Caenorhabditis elegans: one gene and its partner. The protein of the gene in region 1 purifies or fractionates together with the protein of each later gene. This does not show direct contact. Each region holds a gene or a part of one and is shown in the gene's direction. Other genes may lie near its edges.

Region 1 (15,715 bases):
CAATGAGCCTCCAACGGAACAATCGATTTATGAGAAAAGTGCAAGACTAGAATCAGGACGAGCAACAGGCGATGCGCAGAATGCAGCCTTTGTGACAGACAATGGGGAAGATGATGCTCAAAATGATTATATTCAAGTGAGAAATTACAAAATTCAATATTTTTTCAATTTATGTCATTTCTTTTAATTTTAATCTTTTTTCAGCCACCTCTAGAAGTGGTAAGACGAGGGGCGTTAACCCCGAACCGAATGAGCGAATTGACAAGATTGGAGAATGTGAGAACAACACCAGAATCACCACATTTCGAAGTTAGTTCACCATCGACGAGCTCATCGTGTGTGAGCATAGATTTCTCACCATTGGATGCAGCGAATTCGGAAAATGGAAGTGTTGGAGGACTTGTATTGAATGTACCCTCCTTACCCACACGAGCAAGATCAGCAAATGAGTGAGTTTTACATAATGAAGAAAGTTGTTCTAGTGCTCATCCAGTTTCAGGCTAACACGACAAAATACCCACGTGCAAATAAATTTACCTGACGACGTTCATGACGAAAAATTCTGAGCAGGTGCCGTTCCTCTTGTGTCCCCTTGTTCATTCAACATACACCTAATCCAATATAATGCATATACCAGATTGAATTTTGTATCTCACACATTTTACGGGTATTTCAATTACTTTAAGTTTCACACCACAATTCTTCTTCTCCTCTTCCTCATCTCGTCTCAATTTTTCGCTTATTTTCTGATCGGGTCTTGTGTTGCACTTCCAACGTGTAAAAGTACGCATGTAAGAGGATACATTTTGCCGCCATTTTTGCGGGGACACTTTTCCCATTTCTTTCCCCCAGTTTAGCTCATCCCGTATTTTCAATTCCCATATATTTTATTTTTTTTGTTCATTTTCTTCAAGTCATAATAATTTTGTATTAAGTTTCCCCCCGGTTTCGTCCCCAAATTTTCTGTATTTATGTGTGAAGTTATATATATATATATATATATAGAAAAGAGTAAAGATTTTTATTGTTATGGAAGTGACTGGAAAAAATATATGCTGGTTGGAAGAACGTCAGCTGCAAAAAAAGAAAGAGCGCGAGAATTTTCGATGATTGTTGTTGTTTTTGGTATGGACTAATTTCCAGCTGACGAATTACTGATGAGCCGGAAAACCCAACAGGCTTTTGAATATACAATGGACTTTAGAGTAAGATTGATTGCATGGTTGGAATTTTTTTTTTTGCGAACTATTGTAAACTTAAAAGCTTCTAATTTACACATATCAGTTGTTCAAGAAAGTTCAATTTACCGTTGCATTTCAAAATTTTGAGAATACAAGTAATATTTTAGAACAATAAAAAATAGCACACAGTGGTGCCTGTAGGTAAGATGTGTAAATAAAAAAAAAGGTATTTTCAAAGACATGAACAAATTCCCGTAAACTGATTACAATCGGACAATTTCAAATTTATTGAATCTAAATAAAATATTAATACATTCTTTAAAAACATTGGCATTTATTTGTTTTACATCGTTTCTTGTACGCGTTTACATATAATTGAAAGTTCTGAAGTATTTTGTCTCCAAAAAAGATTTCAACAGAATCCTTAAGCTTTCTTGGATAGTATAAAGCAACTGTTAATATAACAACAACTTGTTGTCCTTTTTCTAAAAAAGTAGTATATTTATCCATAAAAAGGCTGACCAATTTTACGCGCACATATACCTTTACCTCTTCTGCTCTTCTCTCTAACACGTTCCGCCGTCTCTACCGCGTCTCCAAAGAGCAACACAAAAACTGGGCGGGGCTTTTGCTCTTTCACGCCACGTTGTGCTCCGCCGGCTCCCTTCCCGCCATCCTGCTCACTTATTTTTCGGTTCTTTCCATCTGAGTCCATCATCATCATCTTCTTCTTCAGTTTTGTTCCTTCTGTTCGTTGAAGGACCAGGTTTTAATCGCCCAGTTTCAGTTGAAAAGTTCAGTTTGTTTTCCAGGAAAAATACAAAATTAACCCAATCGTCATGGAACGTGAATTACGCCTCAAGGCGTTTATGGAAGAATATGCAAGAATTGTTCAGTTATTCGATGATATAGTTTCAATGAAGGTTTGAATTCTTTTTAATTTCACAAAAATTCAGAACAAAATTTTCAGGAATCAATGGGACGTCTTGAAAAATATATGATCATCATGGTGTGTCAAGTTCTTGTTGCTCTTATGGTGAGTTTAATGAAACTAATAATAATAATAATAATAGAGGTTTTGTCATCTAATATGTATGAAAGTGAATCAAGAATCTTAGAAAAAGGACTACGTTGAACTTTTGAAAATGCCTTCTATTAAGAATACAAACTCCTTTGTAACAATTTTCAAAATCTAGAGTAGTTAACTAGTTAATTGAAACTTGGACATGAAGCTTTAATTGAACAAAAGTAGTTGTTTAATTATTGAGATGCTAAAAATGGAGGAATTTTCTGCCCAACTTCGCCAACTTACTGTCAAACTTCTTGTTTGTTTCAACCACTTTTCTAACGTTTTGCAACTTCTCAGTAACAACGTGAAGTGTTAATAGTTTGTCAGATTGTTAGCACACTGTTGTCTTCAAATGTGAAATTCTTATCTATTTTCGAGGACACTGAAAAGTTGCAAAAACAAACGAGACTTCATGAATTTTGCAGTTTAAATTTTTTTCAATCCCTCGATGTTCTAACAAATATTTATAATCTTTGTCTTCTTATAGTCCAAATTTTTCCCAAAAATAACTCGGAAAGTGTAGTAATAAAACAAGTTGATATACGCGGAAATTGCGTCGGCTCGTTTCCGTAGCTTCTATTCTCATTCTTCTCACGCTTTACTCAATTCGTTCACCTACATCTGTTTTCTGTTGCATTTGATTTTTATTTTCAATTTTTTGCACACATTTTTTGACATCCGGAACCCACTTTCTTAATAATGTGTTTTTGTTCCTCACTTCATGATGATATAAGGCTCGTCGCTGGCGTTTCGAGAATTTGAAAAACGTACTAAATGGATCAAGGGCCGTCGGTGTGCTTCATGTGTGGCATAATTGGCACCTTGAGGCTCTCTTGATTGACTTGACACCATGGTGATACTAATTATAGGAAGGAGAGACCCTCTCCTATCACTTGCATTTCTTTGTTTTCAAAAAAAGAAAACTATAGTAGAAAAATGTGAAGAAAAAGTCGAAGAAGGACCACCTAGAAGAAGTCGTACATTAGGACCAAGCAACCGCACTTTTGATGACGGTGTTCACTCGAGTAGAAAACATTAAGCAATTGAAAATGACGGATTTGTTACGCCCCTCTTCAACTTATTCCTGATTCCATCTTTTATTTTAGGATACTTTGCAATTTGATTTGGGGAATGTTTGTAGAAAAGCATACACATAAATAAAGAGCTTCGGCAATTGGAAAGGAAGTTTAGCCTTCGAAAGTGAAAATATTGTCCAATTTTATTATGTTTTTTTAATTAAAATTGTACAACTTAGATTATATACTATGAAGAATATCATGCTTTGCCAAGATTGAACTAATTGAGTAAATCAAATGTGCACTCTGAATTAGTATAGTTGACAGCATCAGATCTTCTGCATATACACATTTGAGGTGTCAGTCAAATGTGTAATAATTTTTTTTGAAACTTCGTTTTCTTTATTCTTTTTCTTTTTCTTTTTTTCAAAATTTATTTCCCAATTGTCGAGCCAACAATCAAATTATGCCACAATCTCTGAGCATCAGCTGACAATTAATCATTTTGTGGTCGCTCTTGACACATCTTCCCCGCCGAAATATGTTTCTTCATTCATTGTATAACTTATAACAGGTGTCTTATTCTATTGCATTCCAACAACATTAGAAATGTAAAACCTAGTTTGATTAATGACTTGATGCTCCCCTCATCAATCAAGAAGAGAGATTACCAATAAGCTGCCACCATGCCATACACCAATTAATTCATTCTGTTCTTTTCCAGGGAGGAGCCATCTTCATGTGTATTCGGTTTTTTCAAAGCCAGCGACAACGTGGAGAATACGAATTGGAACATCGATTCGAAAGGGGTCCGTCTGGTCGCGTGCCGGTCGCTCAGGCAACCCATCAAAAAATCAACAAGAATCCCATCACGTAACGACTATGAGCCGATTGGCGAGTGTGTAGATGTTATTGAGACTGAGAGAACGGGTTTGGATGGATCGGTTCCTTCATTGGTTTCAGGTACTTTTGAAGTGATAGTTTAAATGTGGGAACAGAACAAATAAGCGTATAAACAAACAAATAATCCAAGTCTGAGAGTGAGAAGAAACGCAAAGTAACACTTATGAATAATAAGAAAGTCATTAGGAAACAATTTTCTCAGAACACAACATTCGTGTAATTCTAAAACACTGTGATATACTGTTTAACTAGGTTCGAGCGGGGAAACTGTGACCTACTGAACAAAACTTTCTAACTTCTTCCAACATTCATTTCAGGACCTTCCACATTTTTACATTTTCCTGCATCACCTGCCCCAACATATTCCTTTCGGGAAGATGATTGTCAGACCGATATTGAAATATCTGAAGATGACGATGATCCAACAATAACCCTATCCAATTGGCGTCATTCATCTCCAACTCTTTCAATTTGTACTCCAATTCTTACTACTCGTCGATCGACTTCTTATTCATCAATACCAACCATCGATCGTACGATTAGCGAAGACTCGATGCTGGTGATTAAACGTTTGTAGTTTTATTTCTTTAAGACAATTTATTTATTCAAAAACTCTTCATTCATTACGGGTAGATAAATTTTCTAGTTTTTCCATTCTATCAACATAGACCCAATGCTTCTTTCCTTTTCTTTTTACCGTACGATTTCCAAAACATTCTGCCAATTTGTCATTTGCTATATATTTCCTCCATAAATGTTTCCCTTTTTTCCTTCATCCCAATCCTTTTTTTTCTGGTAATAATAAATTCCTTTTCTGGGCAAAAAGCAACAAAATGTGAGCCAAAAAAGGCGACTGATGATAGATGGTGATGATTTGAATGTGACTGGAAGGAGGAGAAGAAGACGTCGAAAAAAGCGGCAAGCTAAGAAGAGTGATGGTGTACATGGGACGATGTGGAACAACTAATCCAGGAATGAAATGATAGTCAACCACTGACATGTTATTCACTTGAAAAAATAGTCCCTTAAAGGGAAATGATATGGTGAAGTTTAATAAAATTCCCCAGAATACTCCACTTTCAAAAAGTTTCAGGAAGTCTTATTGGATAATTCAAAATTCCTTCATGGCAAAGTTTTTATATATATTTGTAATGGATTGTGCAAACATGAATATTAACAGTTTTATTTATTTTGTTATCATTTTGTCATAGCCTAGGTCAATCTCGGTAGACGATAGGTTTTCAAAATAATCAAACAAATGCATCTGATTGTTTAACTTTTTGTACGTTTTTCATATACTCTGATGATTCAGATCAATTTGATCTTTTTAGAAGAATGTTCAAAATTTCCACACTTCGAAATCCTGTTTTCACAATTCATTTCATCCATTTTTATGAGTTGGAACGATAAGAAAAGAATCTTAACGATGAAAGTGTCAACTGTTGTTACTGACTCATTCACTTGTTGTGACGGAAACTGATCCGAAGGTCGGAAAATTTTCAAGAATAACACAAAGTTTGTAGAGTATAAAAAGAGCTGAAGAATCTGTAAGGCCTCAGCCTTTGAAACGTTATTCATTTAACTCACAGAACGTATATTTTATATCTGATGTTTAAATTTTTTATTATGCGTTGTAATATTCTGATAATAAGACCGTTTTTTTTTCTAGTCCTAAAAATTATTAGTCGCCTTCAAGTTCGCCTTCAAATTGATTGTTTTAAAACCTGTTTCAATCTTGAGCACACAATCTCGTCTTTTGTGAATTAGAAATAATAATTCATCAAAAATATAGAAGGTGTTTTTGATCAGTTAAAAAAATTCAAAAAAGAAAATTTCCGCTCTATTGATTTCTTACTTTCCATCACAACATAATTCAATTAAGATAGGGACTATAAAAGTTTGCTTGGCCACAAAATGGCATAAATCGGTTTCAGATAAGACACATTCGATTCACCTCTTTTCTTATTTACTAAACTCTTATTAGCGGTAAAGCTAACTACACATACACGTAATTTTTTTGAGGCATAATTATGTATTATCAGTAATTTTTGGAACTCTAAAGTACTCTAATTTATCAATTAAATTATCTTTCCAACTAAAAAACGACATATTAAAAATCGACTAAACATCCTGTAAACTTCACATCTATCAGTAAAAAAAGCTACGCGCCTCAAAACACGACCTTCTCAATCCCATCATTGTGAACTTTCATAGTGTTCTCACATTGATCTTAAGAACAAATAAACTTCCTGATTGTTCCATTTTCAATACTTCTCCAAATGACATTCTTTGAACAGTCTAAGGAAACGAATCCTCATTTTCTAGTTCCGTGTTCCAACTCTGTAGGATTTTTTGTATAACTCTGATAACAAGAAGGATATTTTCTCTCACTCTAGCCAACAAACAAATGATAAAAACAAAGTGATTGATTGCAAAGTGGGCTGGGCGTTTAGTTTAACCAGCGGAGGTGCTTACCCTATTTTTTTCATTCGAAGGCAGTATCTTCTGGCTGACGACACTATTTATTGTTGTTCCAAGAGAAAGGTTTCATCACTTTAAGATTTTGTGCTTTTTCTTTCAATTGTTCTTCTGAATTTCGTGTCAATTCACAAAACTTTTTTCATTCTTGAAAATTAAATAAAATTTCAGAAAATGAACCGCTTCATTCTTTCCGCTTTCCTCCTTGTTGCCATCTTTGCCATATCCGATGCTGCCGTTGCTCAACAGCAGGTTAAGGTTTGTTGTAACTCCTATTTGAAAAATAACAAAAAATCATTTTCAGGACGGAGAAAAAGTTGAAATCGATGCTTTCAAGGGAGCCAAGGCAATCAAGAGAACCGTTGCCGGTGGAGATCAAATCTTCCACCTTGACGGAGATAACAAGGGATCATTTGTTGATGCTAAGGGAAAGAAGATTGAGTCAACCAATTATGAAGCTAATAACGGAATCCTTATCATTAAGAAGTTCACCAAGGCCGATGTTGGAACCTACTCCGAGCACCCAGCTGTAAGTTTTCAGTGGGAGAAATAATTAGAAATGTTTTATTTCAGAAAAACACCGAAACCAAGCACGCTGATGGATCCATCTCCGCTGTTCCAGGACTCACTCTTGATATCTCCCTGCAATAAACAAATTTCATTCGGAATGTGTTCTAATAATTTCTCTAAATAAAATTTTTAAAACAATTTCGTGCAAACTTTGCAAAAATAAACAAAAATGTGAGTCAGAACAGAAATAGGCGTGACCTCTATTCAGTCAACAGGTGACCAATAAATCAAGTCTCATTCGTCACTATTTAATGGGTTCTAGAGATGTTTTCTTTCTTCATTCTTTTTTCTCTCAAAATCATCTGAGAAAACTTTGTTTCAGGAGCTTTTTGAATTGTTTTCAATAAAAGCTTTCCTTAAATTTTTTTTATCATTTTCAGAATGAGCCGGTTTTTGATTTCTTCGTTTATACTGATTGCCTTTGTTCTTCAGTTTGGAGAAGGATCAATTGCAGTTCAAGAAGTTAAGGTTTGTAAAGTTTTTTATCTGACAATAGTTTAAAAACTGTTGTTCATGCTTCTACAGGAAATTTTAAATGTATTTCTCAAAACTACTCGAAACTTCAAAAGTTTTCTTATTTTGAAATACCAAGTAGTATTTTACAAATTCCATTTTAGGATGGCGAAAAAGTGCAAATTGAACTTTTCAAAGGAGCCAAGGCAATCCAGAGATCCGTTGACGCTGGCGAACAGATTTTCCATTTCGAAGGAGAAAACAAAGGAGTGTTTGTGGATGCTAATGGAAAAGCTATTGACTCGTCAAATTATGAAGAGAATAACGGACATTTGGTCATCAAAAAGTTCACAAAAGCTGATGTTGGATCATATTCTGAATATCCAACGGTATTGAATTCCTGAAATTCCCGAATTGAAAAAGTATTAATTTCAGAAAATTATCAAAACGAAAACGGATCATGGATTTTCTGGAGTTGCCGCGCCAGTTCTCAAACTTTCTCTTCAATAACTTTTAAAAACTGTTTCAATAAATTCTTTTAAATAACAATAAATTGTTTGCAATATTTCGTAAAAACCTGTTTGAAGGAATTATTTAACCATTATTTGGAAAAGAAATTTGAATGTAGTAACTGTTTCACGCCCACAAAAAGTTCTGTTAAAATATCTCCAGAGCAAATTCCGCACTGATCTGTTAAATATTTTCTGTAACACTATTTCTATTTTTACTATTTTTTTCGGCTATTTAAAATTAAACCGCAAGACAAATAGGGAAATTAGTGTGATTTTTAATTCCAATAAGGCGAATCTTATAGTAAGTTTTTTTCTTATTCGAAAGTACTACTTTACTGATAAGAAAATGAAAAATCATTCAACTTGCATCGATCATTTTCCTCGTTTCACCTGAAAATATGACATGAATATAGAGATAAATATGTCAATTTAGCTACAGTTTTACCAATATTCATTGAACTTCACATCATAATTTCTCAATATAAAACAGGAAATTCAGAAACTCATCAATTTTTTCATTTTCAGAATGGTTGCTGATGGTAAGAGGAAACGGCAGTTTCATTCAAGAACAAATGCACTAGAAGTAAGCGTTCTTTTAGTATTAAATGTTTCATCAATTTCCTAAATTTAAGTTTTAAAAATTCGATGATGTCCTACTCCCTAGTGTTTTTAATCTGTTTCAAATTCTTGCTATAATTGAATCCGTTTTCAGGTATTGGATGGTATTGACCTTTCTGGTAAAACATTTGCAATTACTGGAACAACATCTGGGATCGGAGTTGAGACTGCTAAAGCATTGATTTTAAAAGGAGCTCACGTTGTAATGATAAACAGGAATTATACAGCATCTGAAGCATCGAAGAAATCTCTCCTAATTGAAACTCCAAATGCTCAAATTGATATTGTTCAATGTGATTTGAATTCACTATCATCTGTGAAGAAGGCAGCAGATGAATACTTAGAACAGAAATGGTAAGCGATAAAGTTGATACATTTAAAAACTTAAAATGATCTAAAGAGTTCCGAAAAACCGAAGTTAGAAATGGAGAAATATTTTGGTGTCTCTATATTCAAATTTTCTCTGAGACAAGACGGGTTTTAATCAGAGATCTAAAATTTTAGTGAAATTTTGAAAACCCATGTTAAGTTATTTCCGTTTTAAACTAATATCCTCCAAACTCATCACTTAAATATTGTATTTTATTAATCCTGCCTCCCTTATCTTTGATCTATTCTTAGGCCACTCCATGGATTAATTTTGAATGCTGGAGTTTTTGGTCCAAGTGAAAAAACAACATCCGATGGATTTGAAGCTCATTTTGGAATCAATCATCTTGCTCATTTTATTGTATGATTTTTTACAAAAAAAACCCGATCTTAACTGAATTATTCTTGCAGTTAATTAAGGAGCTTCTGCCAGTTCTTCGAGAATCAGCACCATCAAGAATTGTAATAGTTACATCAATGCTCAGCAAGCATACATGCGTCAAACCTGATTCCAGAATTGTGGAAAAGCTTGACACACTTTGTCCAAAAGAAGCAACTCAATGGTATTTCCGCCTGTATGCAAAATCAAAAATGTGTAACATTCTAACCGCATTCAAATTGCATCGAGATGAATTTAAAAATAGAATAAGTGTTTATGCAGTTCATCCAGGATCTGGAGTTCGCACAGATCTTCATAGAGATTTTGGTTTATGGAGCATTGCTGACTTTCTATCAATCCCATTTACAAAGAATGCAAGCCAGGGAGCAGCAACAAGTCTTTATTGTGCAGTACATCCTGAAGTGAAAGAACTGTCCGGAAAGTATTGGGAATCGTGTTGGGATGATGAAAAGAATTTGGACAAAAAAGTTTCAAGAGACGAAGAACTTCAAGAAGCTTTATGGGAACATTCAGAAAAACTTATCATGAAGTATTTGGACTCATAAAGTTAGATTTTAATTATCGATAACTTTTCTTGAAACATTGCTCAAAATAAAATTTTATTTATTTTTTCGCCTTTTAGAGAAAAAGAGGAGATATTTACAACTTTAAACTCTTCATATTTCTCTAAGCTAATTTTTTTTAAACTTGAGGTAATATTTTAAATACGAGTCTCGCTATAATAATAAAAATTCAGCCAATTGAAATATAAAAGTTAAAAAAAAAATATATTTCCTATTTAATTATACCTTCGACACCAGTTTCGGGTTCCAAAAAATTGGTACCTGAAACGAAAATTTTCGCTTTCTCAAAATTGCTTACTATCTATTTCATTTTCATCACAAAGTAAGGAGCAAATATTTATGGACTCAATTTATTGAGTTATCAACAAAATACTGATAACCAAAACGTAATGTACATTTTTTTGAGTAAAAAACCATTTCGTTGAAATCTTCTGTTAACAAAGATAAAAATCTTGTCTATTTTTCCATTTCATTTTTTTAAAAGAAAGCAAACCACAAATCATACATGCTTCACGTATCTCTCCGTCTCTTGACTACACACACTCTCTAGTTATTTGCCACCTTTTTGTTCGTGACTTTCTAATCTCTCCATACTATTTTTGAGCATAAAAAGACACTAACTGATTATTTTCCAACATTTTCGTTCTCGCCCCAAAAAATGCCTACCGAAAAAGGGCGAACTAGGAAATTTTACTCAAGAACTTATGCTCTGGAGGTGAGTTTTTTAAAAAGTTTCGGAACAATTTTTTTTCCAATTTTACAGACAATAAAAGGTGTCAACCTAGCTGGAAAAACATTTGTGGTTACTGGAACAACTTCAGGAATTGGAATTGAAACTGCTAGATCGTTGTCTTTAAATGGTGCACATGTTGTTATGCTCAATAGAAACTTGGAAGAATCGGAGAAATTGAAAAAGAAGATTGTTGAAGAGATGAATGATGCCGAAATTGATATTATTGAGTGTGATCTTAATTCGTTGCATTCTGTGAAAAAGGCGGCAGAAGTTTATATTTCAAAGAAATGGTAAGTTTTCAATCATTTTCTGCAGCAAGTTGCTCCAGAGATTTTAAATTCCAACAGTATTTAGTGAACTTATTTCAGGTCGATTCATTGTTTAATCCTAAACGCTGGAGTCTTTGGAACTGCGTCAAAAACTACAGTCGACGGTTTGGAATCACATTTTGCCATCAATCATCTTTCTCATTTTTTGGTAAATCAAAAATTCCAGCAATCTTCTATAAAAAAACATTTTTAAGTTAATCCAAGAACTACTTCCAATTGTTCGACAGTCGATTCCTTCTAGAATTGTTTTGGTATCTTCATCAGTTCATGCAACATGTGGAGTTTCTCCTGAAATGTCTATAGAGGAGAAGTTGAAGATTCTGTGCCCAGAGAGTTCATCAGATGCTTCATGGTTCCGACTATATTCTCGATCAAAAATGTGCAATATGTTGGTTGCATTCAAACTTCACAGAGATGAATATCACAACGGAATCAGCACATATTCAGTTCATCCAGGAAATGGGGTTAGGACGAGCATATTCCGAGATTCATGGCTTGTAAGCATTGCGAGTATTCTATCAACTCCATTTACAAAAAATATAAGTCAAGGAGCATCTACAACAGTTTACTGTGCTGGACACCCAGAAGTTGCAAATGTTTCTGGAAAGTATTGGGATTCAAATTGGGATGATGAGAAAGGTTTATACGAAGAAGTTGCAAGAGATGAACAATTACAAGATGCTTTATGGAAACATTCTGATAAAATATTAGATAATATGTTGAATGATAGGAAAAAGTCATGTCAATTTGAATGCTGATTTACTATTTATTGAATGAAACCATTTATATAAAAATCATGAAGGTCACCATTGAAATTATGATCCTCCGAGGACAAAGTACAGGGTATAATATACATTCCCACGTTTTTAACAGAAAAATGCAGATCATATTTTAATTGAAGCCGGAAGTTGAATTGCTGGTGACTGTGGTGATTCGCTGTTGACGTTTTGGAAGTACCCATTCAATAATTGCCTGTCGGTATGGAACAATGAAATAAAACGAGATGAATGGATCAAGGAGAGCTGGGAATGCAGATGACACTAATATCAGGTGTTCTTGAATTTTGAATTATTTATTTCAAAACACCTCTAGATAATATACTCACCACAAATCAAGAGTTCTCTTCCAGTAGATTGAGTATAAATATAACCAGAAAATGATGGAATGTAGGAAATGAATGGAAGCATTGATTGAACGATTAATCCATGAATTAGAGTTTGTGCTTGTTTTTTAGTTCTTTCCGACATATGACTATGATAACGAATCAAAATTAAAACTTTTCGAGTCAGAATGAGACAGCCGATCGGAATTCCGTATGCACCAATTGATAGGAGAAGGGTGGCTGACAGAAACTGAGGACTTCCAGCATTTGAAAATCCCGAGTACGGATAGTAAATGGACAGGTTATAGGAAGGATGCTCCAGGGCTGTGGATGCCTGGGCAGATTCAAAGTCCCATTTATCAGTAAATGGAATTATCTGAAAGTTTTATATATTTCATAGTTTGGGCTTGCTAGAAGTGAATGTAAAAAAAACAAAAAGTGAAAACCATCACTTTTCATGAAACGCTTAAAGTGAAGTCTTAACGTCTGAAAATTTGACAAATCACGTACCAATACTACAAGTGGGGCAATATAAGATGCCAACACCATTATATACGTTTGATTTGTATGTACTTGATTTTGTACAAGAACGAAAAAACGGAAGAGAACAGTTATAGCAATTGCACTTCCAGCTCCAAAACTTGTGGCCTGGAAATCACTTAATCTGCTGTAAAAATAAATTTAAATTTACCATGAAAACGTGATAATTTATGAAGCACGTTGTCGGGCTAACATAACTGCATGGACCCAATGATAGAACAGCTGCACTGATGCTGTTTGTAAGTAATCTGTGTTGAGATAGGAATGCAAATGTTATCAAAGCAATCTGTACACAAGATGTGTTGTACAAAAAGATTTTGAGACCATCGAGTGTTGCTGGTGATTTATGAGAAATCAAATGGAGTAGAATAGTCTGAAATATGATAGCGAGAACTCCACAGAATGGCCAGTACCAGTTGAAAAATGGCACGTAACAATTGGAGTTTGAGCACATTCCAACTGACGAGTTTTGAGAATGAATTTGAAAAGTATAGAAGCAATTTTTGAAGTTTCATATAGTTCCCACGACATTTCGTCAAAATTCTTAATGCTCAAGAGACTGGAAAGAGTCTTTTCTGAGTTTTGATGCATAATCGAGCAAAGCCTGCTGAAAACTTGAGTATGTTTGAAATACGAAAATCGAAGAAACGAATGAGAAAATTATATCCAGGGTTTGAAATTCAAAACGTTCTCAATTTAAATAATAAAACCGTATTGTCATTGCAGGTGAGAATCAGCTTTATTTCAATAATTACTTCATTAAGGTGAAATTATCGAAACTTCTGTAAGTTAAGCCTACTAAAAGGGGTCCATCTGGCTTTGGAATTTTCGTAGGTCAGACGGCAAAAAATATAGGAATTCACCGCCAACTTCTTGCGTAAGTTCAGAAAAGGTCTTACCCAACTTTGAATGTAGTGATACACTCACCAAACTCTGTCCAGACTTCACCTAAACTTTCGCCCAAGTTTTGGCAGCTTCTGAACCATTCTCTTGAAAATGACCAAATGTCGTGAGAACAATATGAGATTTAAAAAATTGCTGTTATACTTCTCATTTTCATTCTCATTCTCAACATCGTCAGCTGGCTGAAATGTGCTCAAATTCCAATTGTTACGTGTCATTTTTCAACTGGTACTGGCCATTCTGTGGAGTTTCCGCTATAATATTTCAGATTATTCTACTCTATTTGATATCTCATAAATCACCGGCAACACTCGATGGTCTCAAAATCTTTTTGTACAACACATCTTGTGTACAGATTGCTTTGATAACATTTGCATTCCTATCTCAGCATAGATTACTTACAAACAGCAACAGTGCAGCTGTTCTATCATTGGGTCCATGCAGTTATGTTAGCCCAAAATTGTGCTTTATAAATTATCACATTTTCATGGTAAAAAGTATCGTTATTTTAGTCGTTCTTAGAGATTTTCAGGCGACAAACTTCGGAGCTGGATGTGCAATTGCCATAACTGTTCTCTTCCGTTTTTTCGTTCTAGTGCAAAATCAAGTATCTGCAAATCAAACTTATGTAATGGTTTTCGTATCTTACATTGTTCCACTCGTAGTCTTGGTGAGTGAGACTAAACATGTTTCAAACCAATCTTATCTTTCTGTGATCTTTTTTTAATCTAAAACTTTCAGATAATTCCATTTACTGATAAATGGGACTTTGAATCTGCCCGGGCATCCACAGCCCTGGAGCATCCTTCCTATAACCTGTCCATTTACTATCCGTACTCGGGATTTTCAAATGCTGGAAGTCCTCAGTTTCTGTCAGCCACCCTTCTCCTATCAATTGGTGCATACGGAATTCCGATCGGCTGTCTCATTCTGACTCGAAAAGTTTTAATTTTGATTCGTTATCATAGTCATATGTCGGAAAGAACTAAAAAACAAGCACAAACTCTAATTCATGGATTAATCGTTCAATCAATGCTTCCATTCATTTCCTACATTCCATCATTTTCTGGTTATATTTATACTCAATCTACTGGAAGAGAACTCTTGATTTGTGGTGAGTATATTATCTAGAGGTGTTTTGAAATAAATAATTCAAAATTCAAGAACACCTGATATTAGTGTCATCTGCATTCCCAGCTCTCCTTGATCCATTCATCTCGTTTTATTTCATTGTTCCATACCGACAGGCAATTATTGAATGGGTACTTCCAAAACGTCAACAGCGAATCACCACAGTCACCAGCAATTCAACTTCCGGCTTCAATTAAAATATAATCTGCATTTTTCTGTTCTTGAAAAAAACCGTGTGAAAAATATTGTGCCTTGTACTTTGTCCTCGAAGCATCATTATAATCTCAAATTTCATAGTTTCAGCACTAAACTTTTTAAAAAAAGACTACACATAGTAGATATTAGTGTGAAGCACGTTTTTTTGTAATTTAACATTTATGCATGACTGATCCCTATGCTGAGCTTTCAATGTGACTTCAATTGGGTTCAGCAAAATATGTAGCAACATCAGTGGTTCAGTTTCGATCGCGATGTCCATATTTTTGGCAAAAATTTTGTGATTTTCAGGTTCATTTCAGGCAAGGATTAAGCAGTAACAAAAAGAAAATACATGAGTAAAATGAAAAAACTAAAAACTGATGAACATTTCGGTATCTCATTGAAAAAAATTTGTCAACTACTTAAGCATATTATTTCAAAGTAATGACCGTTTTTCATTGAACTTTAATTTTTGAACACATTTTTAGTTTTCTGCAATCAATTCTCCAACAGTTTTCGGAAATGTTTGATCGCTTATTAATAATAGTATTTAACATTTAATTATTAGATCAAGAGTCCAGATTTTCAACAAAAAAAGTGCACTTAGTTGCTCAAAACAGAACTTACTAATAATAGAGTTTGAAATT
Region 2 (16,509 bases), on another chromosome or scaffold:
TTGAAAACTAAAAAAAACAGTTAATTTATTTCCAGCGCTACAACCTGATGCTGCAGTTCTCGAGGCTTTGGATGAGATCAATGGCATTGATTTCGATGATGAAGAAGTTCCAAATCGACGTGATGTTCGCCAAGATCCCCAAGTCCTTGAGTTTGCCAATTTATTTCCACGATTGATCGCCTTGGACCCACATGATGCACAACTTGCGAATCAAAATCTGGCAAGGATGGCCCGTCACTTAGCACCAGAGAATTACATTCGGGTGGCTAGAAGAGAGCAAAGACGTGAGTTGAATTTGAATGAAGGAGTGCAATATCAATGTCTAACTTTCCAGAATCATTCATGTGCGGGATTTGCAAGAGTAGCGTCCACAATGTTGCATTTCTTAACCACTTGGATACCTGCGCTGCAAGCAAAGGAGCATGCAAAATTATGGTGATTATTTTTTCCCGAATGATTTTTTTTTTATTTACTTAATAGCTTTCTAATTTTTTGATTTTAGAAAGATATGGAATACCACCATTTCTTGTCCAGCACCTACAGCCTTCGTCAACAGTTGTACAAGTTGAGAGAGAGACTTGAACTCGAATATTTTGAGGCAAGAGTCAATCCGGAAAGATTGGAACACATGGAGTGTGCAGGTTGCATAACTTGTGCCGAGCATTTGCTTGGTGCATGTATGCCAAACATGCAAAGAGATGTGTATCAAGTGGGTTTTTGTGTCTATATATAAGTGCATAAGAGCTGACAAACTCTCTAGCATCCTTCAATTTTCAACTAATTCCAGATTCATGCCAATAAGATCGAAAAGACCGTTATGGCACATTTCGAGCAGTTTCTAGAACTCACGAAAGAAGACGGACTCGGCGAAATTATTTCGAAGCACACCGCTCACTTTGACTCCATCCAAGATTGCATTGAAGATGGACCTACAGACTTTGTAAGTTGAACTAAAATTATTCGTTTGTAAATCCGATCAGGACGAGCTTCAGGAAACTCAAAACAGACGCCATGGGACTTGGTACGAATTTCGCAAGGATACCGTTGAAGAGCAGCAATTGGAAAAGAACAAGTACTTGGAAGAAACCATTGAGAAGCATTTGGTGAAGTATCGCAGCCATCGAACTGAGGTTACCAAACTTATTGGCTTGTTCATGGACAAAATGCTTGCCTGTATTGAAGAGCTGAAAAACAGCCCGCGTCTTGCTCGCATCATTCAGCTGAGAAGAGTTCACTGCATTGATCCTATCCGTGGTCAAGTTCCGCTTGAGGGAGAGGCCGAAGAAATTGAGGACGATGAAGAAGACATCAATGCGGTGGTACAGGCTGAGGAATTCTTGCAACTCGGAATCATTTGATTTGTTTTCAATATCCATACTACCAATCATTCAAGTCTTGAATTATATTCATTAAACACTCTTCTCATTCAAATACAAATAGGAGTTCAATACGCCAACAGTTATTCGTCTTGGTACTTCTCTTTTTTCTATGGTTGTAATTTACATAACTTATCACGTTTATTCCTTGCAATATTTTTCGCCATCTCTTCCCAAAGTTCATCTGTGACATCATTTCTTCAGTGTAATTTATATTCTCTCACAATCCAAATTTTGTCATTTCATGTTTTCATTTCATACAGGATTCACGATCTCTTGTGAGTGAATTCCAAATATCCAAATACTTGTCACTTTTTCCCTGTACTTTGTTTCATATCAACCCGAAGCTTAACATTATTTTATTTATTTCACTCGAACTATTGATTTCAATATCTTGACCGTGATTGTTTTCAAAAATTGTTTGCCATTTCTGACCCTGTTTCTCACTGTTTCCCACTGTAAGTCCATTTCCCGGCGTGAATTCTTTCTCCATGTGATTTTTCAAATACATAAATTTTTGATGGGAAAATGACATTCTTCATTTCAGGAGTATGTAACTTGCCAAACATTATTTAAAACTGAGTTTGTCTAATGCACTATCATTCTGAAGATAAGTAGCACCTGATCTACCAAAGCATGTTAATTGAAATCTATAACAAATATTATCAAAAACTTCAAGCGAATGCGGCCACAAAGAAATCAACTTTTCTTAGTTCCTCGTCTTCGAGTTCACACGTCACTCAATGTAGCTGCAAAAGCGCTCGGTTGCACTTTGAAAGGTCCGCGCACCTCGATATGCACTCTTCACCACTTGAGCCACTTTTTTGTGCATTTCCGTCGTTTCTCTTCGTTTTCGAAGAGATCTTGTAGACGAGAAACTGCGACATCCTATTGATCTGTTCCTCAAAATATGTTTTATGCGTTCTTTATGTGAAAACTCTTTTTTAGGTTGTATGTATTATACAGGGTGACAAGAAATTATAGCAACAAGGTCAAACCGTGATAACAACGTTTGGAAAATAGATAAAACAGCGAAACTTATTCAGAATTACAAGTAAGTATTTGTGAAAAAAAAAATAGAGGGACGACCTCTAGAACGACTATAGGTAAGCATATTGTGTCCTTCATTTCATTTCAATTGTAAGTATTTCCTAACATAATGATTATGTAAGTTTTAAACCACTTCATCAAAACGATAGATATAGGCTTTGCCTAATTATTACTGATGTTGTGAAAACATGCTAAAATCAGCATGCCAAGAAAGTCACATTTATTAAAATTTATTCTTATAACAAATTTTTACCTAATGATACATTTATTAAGCACCAGATCATCAAGTCCAATACTCTTTTCTATCAAAAAAAAAAAAACTCACTGACTAAGCTGCCGGCTCTATTTTTTCTGTTTTTCTCTTTTCAACTGTCCTCGCCATGCCCTCGTCATCTACTTTTCCAGAAAAGCTGGCTAGCACTGCCTGGCACGAAGGGCTCTCTGTGTGAATGTGAAGCCTGATTCGGAGCCAGCCACTGCATTGCACCGTTGCTTATCTTTCTCTCTAGATCTCTCTCGCTATTCCATTAACTTCGTGTGCTCAGTGCTCGCGCCCTTCTCGTTTTTTTTTTCTGGCTTTAATTTTTTTCTCCCTCGGAGAATAATGAATTCGGGAAATTGAATTGGACGCTGGCTTCTTGAACTAAATTTTTCCGCTGCTGGCATTTCTCCGTTTCATTTTTTAGCCTATAGCATGTCAATTTAAAAATGACAAAATATACATATTAATTATTTTATTGCACTTGTCCTTGTGACATTTCAGAGTAGTTCTAAATTTGTCCTTTTGTTATAGTATTCGTTTGGCTTTTTCTCTTTTTTCTGATGTCCAGTGAACGGAATGAAATTAAATACTCTCACTATCATAATCACATGATAGTTAAATTTCTGAACTCAGGTTAAAAAAATTATTCAACTTTTGGTTTATTCTCAATGCCTATAATTATTAAAAATTTTATGTCTACTCCATATTCTCCTGTTTCTTTTTCTACTGGTCGCATGAAAACACAAGTTAGTAGAATATGCTATTGATGAACATTTTTATGAGGTTTTCATATTACATTATTAGCTGTTTTTGTGTGGCTGGTCTTAGCTTTTCTGGCGTGTAAGAAAGTTCCAGTTTAGTCTTAAACAATACACATAGTACATACACATATATCCCTCTACATTTATTTTAAAAATTACTGAGAGTGAACTAGAATGAAACACGTAGAAATCCCACTTACATGCAAATATATGTACTTCCAATAAACTTTTCTTTACTATTAACGAGCGTTCAATATGTTCTAACATTCAATTTTTCAGAAAAAGAACATGGCCGACCTAGACATCCTGGAATTGTTTCGGGCCGTTCCATTCTTCCCCGATGCAAAAGATCGTGTCAACAATGAAATGAACCGTATGAAGGAGGACATGGAGATCCTTCTCAATACATGGACCGTTGAAGAAATCCGTTCAATATTCAACGGGCCCACACGTTATAGGTGCCTAATTGAGCAACTTCAAGGTGAAACTCTAACGGAAAAATGCAGCAGTGCGTTGAGAGTTGGTGGATTCACATTTCTCACTGATGCTATTCATCTCTGCGACTTTACGATGGCAGAGCATCTTAGGCTTACAAAAATGAATGTGTTCTCTCATCTGATCTCTCGTGACAACTTCTTCCGGCCGAAAAGTAAAAATGTGGAAACCAAGCACATCGAGCAAGATGATGTGAAATTGTTCGATCTCTTAAAACTTCCTCCGGAGATGATAGAGCAGATCATGCAACGAGTAAGTTTTCAATTCTGGGAAAATACTTCTAAAAATAAAAAAATCTGAATCTCTCCTTTTCAAAAAAACAACGTTAAACACTTTTTGAGCAGATGCACTTCCAACCGGATGATTCCTAAGATTAAAAAAAATTTTCAGTCGGCTTACAAAGACGCTCAAAGTCTAGCAATCACGTGCAGTGCTGCCAATAACATTTACCGACAGAATAGTCTGAAAATGGTGCTCCCAGATGTCATTTTGATTCTTGACTTCTCCAGTGGCGAGATGAATGTCCGATGGATATTGGAGAAAAATCAACAAGAAAATGAAAGCGATCCAGACTCTGAAAAATGCTTGAATCAATCCGAAGTCAACGAGAAGAAGAAAACCCAGCTGCTGCGTAACACAACTATTTTAAAAATTGTCACCACTGATGATTTCGAACCGGAATACTGTGAAGCTGTGCACAACTTCGTTGGATCCAGAACATTTAAAAGAATCATTGTCAAGGGTTTCGAGTACACGGAGAATTTGAAAATGATGGTGGAAATGTTTGACAAAGAAGTTGTGGAGATTGAAGTGAACGCACTAACTGACGACTTCATTCCGTTCCCAGATGTGAGTTGTACTTAGAATTTGAGAAAATTTGAATTTTTCGTGTTATGGTTTAAAGAGCGTTCCAAAAAAGTAGGATCATGCAATAAGTTAATAAAAATTCCAATATCCCCTAAAAGTTTTAAATGCAATAACTGAGACGCAATTCAATTTTAAAAGTATAGATTTTTTTTGGCCGACTTCCAATTTTTTTGACCATAATTGCAAACTTTCAAGTTTTTAAAAATAATTTTTTACAATTACATCAAGGCAATTTAGTACTTCATGAGCTGATTTAAATAATTTCCCTACTGAAAATACTCTACATTTTAATTTAAAAATAAATTTAAAATAAACAAGTGTTATGTAGAAGCAATACAAATTTTCAGATCAAAACCATATCCATCCGCGACACTCTCAACAGGGATCACGGAGAACGGCTCTTTTCTGCGAAGCATTTTGTCAACATCAATTGTGCTCTCAACAATATCGACACATTCCGAAAAGCTCTTCGTGATTGGGATAATGGACACCGAGAAGTTGGTAGATGGGTAATTCTGAAACAATTCACCATCTTCCAAACACCCTTTGGTAGACGTCATCGGCCGAAGACTTCCTTCCGAAAGGGGTATTTGGAGTTTATCAGTGAGCTCAACTCATCACAAATGCCACATGGAGAAATAACCGAATACGTTTTTCACGAGACTAATTAACATGATTCTTAGCGAAAATGAAACCAACTAATCTACTTTTATGAGAAAATTATTTATTTCTTACATTCCCTAAAATTTTCTATATAACAATTTTTCTATAGTTTTTTATAACAGTTTTTTGTAATATTTGTTGTCACTAATTCTTGTTCATCTCAAAAACTATTAGACTCCAACCCGGTTTTTTTTTCACACAGCTCATTCCACTTCTAAGTTATTGTTTTGTTTTGTCAAATCTCCAATTCCCAAGCAAATCTATTATCCAGTCATTCATGTTGATGAAACAATAAACTTTGGTACACTTTTTGTAGATTGGTTTTCGTCATGCATTTTCAGTAGTAAAAAAATCTAAAGCGTGATACATTTACCGCAAAGTAACATTTATGGGTTAATACTGTGGTATAACAAAAATGGCCTCAAACAACCAAATATGTACCACCTATAGTATGCCAACCGGCTTAACATGTGCCTAAATCGATTAAAAAACAAGAAGTAAAAATAGAAATATGCCTAATAAGTTTATAATTAGAACAAATTAATTTCAGCGTTCTGCGAGTGCTGATTTCAGATGAATTTGATTTTTTCTTTTGAAATTTTATATATTCGTTTTGAGTTTTGTTTTACTATATAATGTCGAGATTTGATTTTTCTAGGAAATTGATAAAAATATTTAGGTTCAAATTAAAGTATATAAAAAAGCAAGATCTAAAAAAACTCGCAGAAAACGCGCTCTTTTAATTTTTGTCTTATTACTAAAATTTTCAGCTGAATTAGTTTCCATTTAATATTTGAAACCTTTTAAAATACTTCTAAAAGTTGAAAATTATTAAGAAAAACAAAAATTTCACGAAAAACAAAACAAAACATTGATGCCCTACTTTCTCTGGCCTTATACGTGGCAAGGCTTGCAGCTCGCTTTGGCTGGCAGGACACGTGTAACTTTTGCACTCTCATTTTTTTCACAGTTTTGTAAACAAAATCTCTTTTTAGTTTCTTTTTTCTCTCTTTTAACCGTTTTTTTTTGCTATTCCTCTTTTAATCTGCCTTTTGCGCATTTACACTGTACTTAACTTTTTGCCGTTCGTTCGCTCTTCTTCCCATGCATAACACTTGCCATTCCTCCTTTTTTCCCACACAAACAACAACTATCGATTTCTGGTATTCCAATCTTCTGTTGTTTTTTTTTGTTTTCTCTCTTACCAGTCTCTTCATTCTGGTTAGCATCTATCTCAAACTGTTATAAACCCTATAAAAAGTGCGCGCGCGTACCTTTCTCTTTTACCACTGACTGTTTCACATTTTGAATCAAATAACAATTGAACGTAGTTGCAGCGATTGGTGATGTTGAGAGCGCCAGCTGCCGAATCGAACAAGGATGTGATTTTGGAGGTGTTGAGAAGATTCGCAACATCTGGAAAGAAAGTAAGTTTTTAAAAAATGTGTTTCACATTTTTTTAAAATGAAAACATTAACGATATATATATATTTTTTTTTTTCAGGTGTTCGAGCTAGCTTCTGGAACTGGACAGCATATGGAACATTTTGCACGGGCTCTGCCGGATGTCACTTTTCAACCGACTGAAGTTAATGGTCGATACCTCCATTCCATCGTTTCTTATTTGGATCAAAGTCAGGTTAGTCAGCAGTTAGTTGCCCTGCCCAAATTTCCACTTTTCACAATAGCAAAAAAGAGATAATACTTGAATTAAAATGACTGCATTTTTCCACACTCCTGTTGAAAAACCTTTAAAAAATTTTAATTGCCAGCAATTGACAGAATGTTTTAACAAAAAACCACACTCCAGACTGTTGGGGTGAACAATAATTCTAAACTAATTTTTGATTTCTCTTTTTTTACAACTTTTTATGAAAACTCAACTTTATGTTTTTGTAACCATAAAGTAATATTTTTCAGTTTCCAAACGTCCGCATCCCCCTCTTCATCGACGTTGCAAAACCATTCAATCAATGGGCTCTTCCTGCGGATTTCGGACCTCATATGGTAAATTGTTTCCAGACTATATTGGAAAATAACTTCGTTTTTTTTCAGGTCGACATTGTTCTCAATATCAACATGATTCACATTTGCTCCACGGCTGCAGTTAAAGGCCTTTTTCAAGTAAGTTTTTTTTTTTGATAAATGTCAAAGGTGAAATACGAATTTCAAAAATAGTAGGATAAATTTCAATGGGACTGAATTTTTTCTTCAAGTTGCAAATAATTTTGAAATAAAAACAAATTTTATCACATCAAATTCAAACACTTCTGAACTAATTTAACCTTTTTTACAGTCTGCCGACTTGCTTCTTCACGAGACGAACGGAATCCTCATGACTTATGGACCATATGCAGAGGATGGACACATTTCACCACAATCAAACATCGCATTTCATACAAATCTGAAAGCTGAAGATCCGGAACATGGCCTCAAGGATATCAAATATCTGGAGAGGGTAAGGAGATTTTTTTTTAAAGTTAATCTCGGTTTTATTACCATGAAACTGAACGCTTAGTCAGAATTTTTTTCGAGAATTTAAATATAAATTCATAGTTTATAACATATTGAATTTTCAGCTTGCAAACAGTTCGAACCTCCGTCTTGCCGAAAAGATTACAGTTCCGAAGAATAATTTCATTTTGATCTTTTCCCGTTAAACGCTTGTACTTTTTATTTTCAATCTGTTCTCCTGTACTTGTAATACTTGTAATACGCTAGATTTTCAGCGATGCATGGCCTTGATAACTCCTTTTAACTGCAAATAATATTTGCAATATTACGCTCTTTAATATAATATAAAGCATGTTTGATTTCAATATTCTATGATATATGATGATTTTAAAGCATTTTCAAGTGTAATTAATTTCTCCATTTTCAGGTTGAAGTCGATATTAACAGTTGTCTTTTTGAAATGGATTCCAAATTGCTATTTAAAAATTTTATTCAAATATTTTACCTATTGGAAAATAATTACTCTTTTCAAGAAACCATTTTCGAACTTCCTCAAGAAACGTTTCAAGTATTGAAGCAGGTGTTTTGCCACCTTCATGTTATGTTTCTTTGACGCAGTTATTTCTGGTCTAGTGAGCAGAGCCGATTCTTGGTGTTAATGTGAAGTCATTCTATAACAGTGGAACTAGACATTTCAAAAAGAAGTGCGCGGATGTCAAATTAAAAAAAAAACTTAAAAAAAAAAATTTAAAAAAACTCTGGAATTAAGAAAAGATTGACTATATGGGTGATTGTACGGATATTTTAATGCTTTAAGAATATTTGATTGGCATTACAGAAATAGATTTTGTTCGTTCTGCTGAATTTAAAATTGCAGCTGAACCCAGCAGCATCTAAGCACAATTACTAATTTTGCTTGTTTGTATGTTTCGATTTGCTATCACCAAATAGTTTGCGCGTGTGATTTTTATTTTTTTATTTTTAAGCGTTTCATTATTTTTTTTTAAAGTTTTATCATCTATCATTTTGTGACAAGTAAAACTTTGTCTGGTTTATCTGATCTGACCAGAAATCGCACAAACGGGTAATAATCCTTTTAGCTTAAAAGTATGAACATTTCAATGTCGCTCGAGTAAGATCAAAAAATCAATCTAAGAAAAAATAGCGCTCAACAATAAAAAGTATTTTTATATTTATTTACTTCATTTTATTTACGATCAGCTTTTCTTTTAAATTTGAATTTCATTTATTTGTGTGCAAGCTGCTAAAAAAGTTTCTTGATGCATTAAAAAACAATTGATTTCAATATTCATATTACAAGTGCGTGGAAACTTCTGGTTTTTTTTTCAGTTTGTGTGATTTGTAACAAGTATACAACAAATGTTTATAGGCAATTTTCCAGTTAAAACATCTGCTAGGAGATCAACAAAAAGTTCAACAGCCGGAAAATTGGAATTCTTGGTTTCCCAGCGTGATTTGTGTCGAATATTGAAGCTACATTAATGAGCACCTTCGATATTGGAGATGGTAAGTAGTTTTTCTGTGTATTTCTGAATTGATGTTCCAGCTAATTTGTGAAGTTTCGGCAGCTCAAAAACTAAATCCTTCTTTTAAATGTTGTAGCCTACGGGTTTTTTACCGTCTTCGACAAAATTGAGCTATGTCTCATCGGATTCAGAATCATACATCATACATGAATCATACATGAATAAACATCGGTACATAAATACGAATTTTGTGCAAAACCCCAGGCGTTCTGTTTTACACTTATTAGATGTCAAAGTGAAAAGTTCAACCAACCATAAACTTTGGAAAGTGTAAAATTTAAAAAAAAAACGTGTCTATACCCCATCAACTGTATATGAAAGATTCTTACTGATAAAATATCTCATCGTGAAAGGTGAGCTTTCCCTTTTTGTTTGGTTTTTTTTTAGTAGAAAAGTGGTAGCAATTTTGATACACGTCTCATTTGTGACCCAATCACGTTTAATGTGCCTCTATGAAATCTTTGAATATTTGTATTTTTGATTGAGATCAAATTTAGGTATTTTTCAAAGATTGAATTTTCTTACCGTAGTGATGTGGTATTCAAAATGTACTCTTGTAGTATAAAATTTTGTGCTTTGCGGTAATTTCTCTACCAACTTTAGCAACTTTGAAGTTGCCAATCGCAAAAATTGCTGAAGATGGGCAAAGTCTGTTAAGTTGGGGGTTAGCACCTCAGCTGCATCAAAATTAACTCAAATTGCTAGAGTTAGATGAAAAACCGAAGTATTAGTTTTTGACCCTGTTTTGCAGGAATGCAGAATAAGAACTAGTTCAAGATGATTACAAAATTGCAGATGTTTTTTTTTCAAATCACGAAACCACGCGTTAAACGTACATATTGTTTCCATATTTTATGACAATTAACAACTTAGACAACATTTATTTTATTAATCCTGAACGTATTTTAGGTACTTTTCAAACTCGCAATGTTTCATGAATCAGATTTTTCAATGGCTACCAACAATGCAATAGTATATTGTATTCTCACTCTATCAATAAAATCTCAAATTCGAAACAAAATTGAAAAAAAGGTTTTTTATAATGAAGCCTCAAACTGTTTTAGTTAAATAATTTAAGTACATTAGCCAAATAATTTCATTTTCAAACTTTTTTATTTGCATTTTATTGTAAATATTTTAGTGTTGATCAAAAGTAATTACCTGATACGCTTTAATTGTCTCTGCTTTTGTTAGTTCAATTTTACGTTAGCTGTTTTACAAAAAAAAACATAATGATTCATCAACAAAGTTTTTAGCTACACTTGTTCTCACTATCAGATAACTCAAATGTACCAGGTAAATTCCCAAGCCCGTCATTCAAGACAAAACTTTTCATAGTTTCTGAATGTTTTCCCACGTAAGTTGTCTTATCCAAACATCAATTTTTACAAAATTTAGAAAATTTGAAAGCAAACTGATAATTCAGAAAACATACCCAGTTAATATGAGTAGAAAAAAATTCATAAATTGATGTCACTAAAATTTTAGATTGGGCAATTTTTTATTGATCTGTTTATTGTACAAGTCTCAAGAAGACTTCGAAAAATATTTTCTTGAATTCCAATAAAACCCATGATGAGGAATTCTCAACTTTCTTTGTTGTGAAGGTGGCATACTACGTATAAAAGAGACTTTCCCAAAACAAGATTTGATTAATCTTTCTGATTTTCAATTGGAATCTGTTAGTAGATTCAGATACCACATTGGTTTCACCGTCTTCAAAAATATGTTTATCACAAGCGCAACTATTTTTATAGTCACTTCAAAAACTCTGATATACAGTGAAAAACATTCACTCCGGAAATTGATCTAGGTATAATGAATTAAAAAGAAAGGGGCTAGAAAAAACCATTCAGTATATTATAGATTGAATTCACTTCTTTAGAATATCTGATTGTAAATATTTTACTTTTTTCTCCATGACATTAAACATAAAGCACAATGTGCATTCTGTTTTCCTGTATTGAAAAATCACCCGCTTTCTTCTAGTAGTCAGTACATCCCAGAAATTACCCATTTAGAACTTTCACTGACCACATATGTTATTATTTCTTTTTTGCTACCCTAAATATATCGGGCAGAATTTAATCAAATTTTCATAACACACTATTTATTGCAATTTTAAATTGTTGCTGGTTCATGGAACCATAGACAACATAGAGAACATTAAGAAAATATTATTGTCCACTGATTGACTACTGACACTTGTCAGATTTTAATTTTGTTTTGCTGTTTTGATCATTTGAATAATATCAGAAATCAAGGTAAATATGGATCTGGCAAGACTATTTTCCATTGAGAAATAGACCCGTAGGATTGTTAGAGCCAACAAGATTACTTGAAACTGTAACTGTAATTTCCGAATCTTTTTTAAGTTTTTCTACCATTTAATTTCCGGTTTCCGCCCCTTTGAATTTGTTTAAAATAAGAACGATTTTTACTTGGAAATGAGTGTGCTCGTTATTTAAAAAATAATTAAAACATGTGAATTTAAATTTATTTTTAAGGAGACAGAATATTTCCAAGTTACTGAAATTCAATATTTTTCAATTTTTTCATGAGATGCGCCATCTTAAAACCTGTAGCTATATTTTCATACACTGAAATTTAAGCTCACGATTTTTTTAAAATTTTCGTGTTTACTGGAAGCTCGAAGACTGTAAGACGGAAAAACGGTTTTAAAATATCAACAACTAAAAATGTTCCAAACATCATTTGAATGTGTTAAAACTCCCATGACAAGTGCTTCTCCCATGAATTTCTATCATAGGTTAGTACAATTCTTACATTAGTCATTAGGCGCAAGCACAATGTGCAGCGTCCAAAAAAAACGTGGGAGAACAAACCTTTTTTTAAAGGGGCAACCATTCTGTTTAACAAATCTGATTTGGACTATCGAATCGACATTTCTGGTTTAACACCTCACAACACAAAAATTGTTAAATACACCTGGCACAAGTACGTCGACGGAAAAAATTATGTGGCGGTTCTCCATGTTTCACAAAATGGGAAGCAAATTTTAATTGCATATTGCAAGTGGCAATTTTATGTCTCAACATTTAAATTTCAGGCCAGATAAAATGTTTAGCTGATCAATGTAAAAATGTGGTTGAAATAGTGTTAAAGTACTCACAAATCTAGTTTTTTCAACAACGCCTTTGTTAACACTTCAAAGTTTACAAATTGTGAATTAAATTGATAGTTAACAATTACCGTATACCTCTATAAATTGGGCAGTCCATTCCTTAACTTTCACATTTCGAATTTCAGTTTTTGACATGTTTAGATAAATAAGTTTTTATTGCAAATGTAAAAGTTAACGTATTATTATAGTTACTTCTCTCTTGTTGAATGGTGTTCTAAAATTCTTCACAACATCATTTTTTCAAAAACGAAATTCGCCTCACTGCAAACTAACTATTATCTTAACATTTTAACATTTTAATATTTGAAATGACGAATGTTTTCATGCCGCATTGTTTATACCCTTATTCTTAATTTATATTCCCAAAAAATTGTACATTTAGCTTTGGGTGTACACGTGAATAGTCCAAGACACTTCTTGAAATTCCAGTCGGTGATGGAAAACGTGACTAGTCGCTACACCGATCCAGGTGAGATTTTAAGAGCTTCTGCAGATAAAAGTGCATGTTCGGCGGTAGATATTCAAGATTAAGCACGTCGACTTCATTCAATTAATTTTCTTTTTTAGGAGCTGTTGACGTGATCAAAATTACCTTTTAGTTCTGATTTGAGCTCTAAGTACCTTTGTTCTATTGCAACTGAATTGTAAAGTTTCAGCAATGGAGGGATGCGAGACGAGAGGTCAATTATATTATCATCCAGCGTATTTATTTGCTATTATTTTTCAAGGTACCTCAGGTTATCTAACGTTTCCTATTTTATTTATCATACTCAAAAAGTATGCTTTTAAAGTTTATTATCATCCAAATCTAGTAGTAAGTGATACTTTTTAAAGAAATTTTTTTTTTCATAATAGTTTATACTAACTTATTAATTTCAGTTCCTGATGATGCTCAACGTGGTATCTTGTCTGCTGCTCGGAGGACTCACAGCTTGGAGCGCAACCAACTTTTTCCTTAATCTTATGATCAAGCCATCTCCTTGCGACTTGCTTCTAAAAACCTACTTTTGTTCCAAAATTCGCGGAACTTTTCTGTACGTGATGTAAAAAAAAGCTATCAATCAAAACCTTGATTCTTAGATTTGCATTTTGTTTGGTGACTACAAGTCACGCTGGAATTTTGCTGGAAAGATCATGGGCAACTTACAGTGTCAAAAATTATGAGCGACAGGGAAGAGCACTCGGAACTATTTTAGCAATTGTTGCGGTGAGAATTTCTTAAACTGTTTACATTTCATAATCATTGGAATAGTCAAAATTCCTCTAACTAGGGAATGACCAGAATAAGTGGAGCGATATTCAAAAAAAAATATTGTATCGGAAAGCTGACATTCTCTACTATAAGAATATGACTGAAATTTTTGCCCATTCGGGCTGGAAACTTTTCAGAAATTTTTATTTTTTAGAAAATTGCCACTTTTTTCTCCATCAAACCCATGAGAAAATTTGATCCAAAAATTTTTTTTGAAATTTTTTCAAAAATGTATGAAATAATGTAGAGTGTCACAAATAACTTATTTTTCATTGTTTTCAATGACCGAATCACTGATTCTGATGCCGTATCAAGACGTTTTACCAAATCGATATTGGAAAAACACCTTGTCTTTGAGACTCCATATCTCTGCAGGAAAAAATCGCACTAAAAAGTGATCAACTAGAAACTTGTTAAACATAATGTGATCTGAAACTTTTCAGTAAAACACTTTCTTTAAAAAATTTGGTTGCCGAGTTGGGACCAATTGATTTGAGCTTCATTATTTTTGAATATTCTAAATAGTTAAAGGTCTATATCTTGGCAACCAAATTTTTTACAAGAAAGTGTTCAACTGAAAAGTTTCAGATCACATTGTGTTTAACAAGTTTTCAGTTGATCACTTTTTGGTGCGATTTTCCCTGCAGAGATATGGAGTCTCAAAAACAAGGTGCTTTTCCAATATCGATTTGGTAAAACGTCTTGATACGGCATCAGAATCAGAATGGGCAAAAATTTCAGTCATATTCTTATAGTAGAGAATGTCAGCTTTCCGATACAATTTTTTTTTTGAATATCGCTCCACTTATTCTGGTCATTCCCTAGTAAGAGAGAAAACGCTGAGAGCTTATATTTTTTAAATTAGTTTTTGGAAATTGCAAATTTGATACCACAACACCTTTTTGACATTTTTAACTCGTTGAACTTTTCCAGGTTGCCGTAGCTGCCACTGCAATTTTTATACTTTTGCTACCAGAAGATGGAGAAGAAATGATAACGACATGTCTTACATTTTCCGCTTCCAAGTCTATCGGTTCTCGCGTATATGTAATGTTCTTTGTTCAACTCCTATTAGATGCTGTTATTTCAATAGTTCACCTGGTCTTATATCGATACAACAAGTAAGTCCAAACCCCTCTGAGCCTTATGTAACAATTGTTATTCAGAAACATCGATAAACACGGCTCTACTTCCTTGTCAGAACAGTTCCAGCGTAATGAGAATGTGAAAACATTGAAGCAAGTGACTCCGTTACTAATATTGTCGAACGTTACGATTGGGGTATACATCTTCATTGTTTCCGTTTTCCGGTTATACAAAGATTATTTACCGCCAAACTGGTATGAAATAATTGCTGCGAATCTGTTTGTAAGTTGTTAAACAACAGGGAAAATGTACAATTATTGATTTCAGTGTTAAATTTGTAATAAACCTAAAACTGTTCAAATCTGCTAAACTTTTTTATTTCCAGATAATGCCTCACATGCCTTTCATGTTTACTTCCCTTATACTTGTCGAACTATGGTTAGGAAAAAAGAGGCAAGACCGAATTCACAAAGATATGATGGCTAGTCAAGATGTCCCTCTCGATGATCAGTTTCATATTGCCATGGAAAATTGGGACGTCCATTTTCAGTCACGGTTAAAAGCTCAAGCAAGAGCTAATCGGAAGCCACTATCGGCAAATTGGACGTCTTCCACTTTAATAACAAAGTTCAAAAAACGGCAGACAACTGTTGCAGTAATTTCAATACCGCCCTCACCGTCTTGATGTGTGTGTGTTTTTTTCAATTTTTGTCTGTTGCATTTAAATAATTTGAAACACATTGATTTCTGAATTTCTAAAATAAAGGTAAACATTTTAATAAAAAAAACCCGGTACTTGTGTATTACATGCCCTCATTTTTAAATCAAATTTAATGTTCATTAATTTCTCCATTTAAATTAAACGTGATATACATGTTCCCTTTTTAGGCTTAGAAATTGCTATTTTCTAAGCCTAAAAATACAAAAGTGTGGTTCACGTTTTTATTTCGCATAACATAAAAAAATTACTATTAAAATGAGGGCATGTAATACACAAGTACCAAAAACCCTTTTAATCAAGTCTTGCTACCAGCATAAGCCAATTACCTATTTAATTTACTTACCTATGAAAATAGCCGCATTTTCCTTCCGGCGAGACGGAGCTTTTTCACACATTTTACATGTTGTTTTTTTTTTCGCTTTTTGTTGAACATCGGGGTTGCGCTTTGTTTGTAAACTCTAAAATATAAATTAATTTTACAAATTTTTCTTTCAAAACAAATTCTTCCGGTGCCATGATTTAATAAATGTTAAGTTGTAAAACGTGACTACTTAAAATAAAAATATGTAGCATAAATTAAATAAGATCACAAAAAGTTCAGATCATTCAATTTGCGGTTGTGTAGGACGTTACTTTTTCTTATGAGCTATTTTTCTCGTTTTCTGATCCTTTACCCTGAACTTTACAATTTATTTTTGGATATTAATGTATTTTTCCACTGAATCTTGCGTTTCGCCTTTTGTGACGTTAGTGACATAATTTGAACATACCTGAAAACGCTAACTTACCTTTTTCTGTGAAAACAAGCAAGCCTATGATTGGATTAAAAC

The links.
Region 2: the proteins of E04F6.8 (region 1) and Y26E6A.3 fractionate together in Caenorhabditis elegans (co-fractionation; one large-scale study listed by BioGRID). This does not show direct contact.

The regions. Positions count from the first base shown.
Region 1 is NC_003280.10:7,203,263-7,218,977, reverse strand, and holds E04F6.8 (Cuticle protein), read left to right. Parts: upstream 1-7,597; 5' UTR 7,598-7,598; coding exon 7,599-7,685; intron 7,686-7,834; coding exon 7,835-8,059; intron 8,060-8,105; coding exon 8,106-8,180; 3' UTR 8,181-8,227; downstream 8,228-15,715. Other genes in the region: clh-3 (Chloride channel protein), read left to right, coding at 1-136, 205-449, 494-566; E04F6.10 (uncharacterized protein), read left to right, coding at 2,021-2,104, 2,152-2,217, 3,991-4,143; E04F6.9 (Periplasmic protein), read left to right, coding at 6,822-6,905, 6,952-7,176, 7,221-7,298; E04F6.15 (DeHydrogenases, Short chain), read left to right, coding at 8,709-8,765, 8,895-9,154, 9,422-9,530, 9,581-10,114; dhs-7 (NAD(P)-binding protein), read left to right, coding at 10,791-10,847, 10,896-11,155, 11,234-11,342, 11,389-11,952; srd-59 (Serpentine receptor class delta-59), read right to left, coding at 12,086-12,249, 12,300-12,672, 12,807-12,944, 12,988-13,290; srd-58 (Serpentine Receptor, class D (delta)), read left to right, coding at 13,927-14,229, 14,272-14,409, 14,481-14,853, 14,904-15,067.
Region 2 is NC_003284.9:13,900,198-13,916,706, reverse strand, and holds Y26E6A.3 (Methyltransferase-like 26), read left to right. Parts: upstream 1-6,756; 5' UTR 6,757-6,820; coding exon 6,821-6,901; intron 6,902-6,978; coding exon 6,979-7,113; intron 7,114-7,394; coding exon 7,395-7,481; intron 7,482-7,529; coding exon 7,530-7,598; intron 7,599-7,770; coding exon 7,771-7,932; intron 7,933-8,053; coding exon 8,054-8,134; 3' UTR 8,135-8,336; downstream 8,337-16,509. Other genes in the region: ekl-5 (E3 ubiquitin-protein ligase), read left to right, coding at 36-284, 335-435, 503-709, 788-940, 981-1,358; Y26E6A.2 (F-box domain-containing protein), read left to right, coding at 3,738-4,196, 4,335-4,793, 5,159-5,482; sra-39 (Serpentine receptor class alpha-39), read left to right, coding at 13,279-13,434, 13,500-13,654, 13,701-13,827, 14,806-14,993, 15,039-15,240, 15,344-15,643.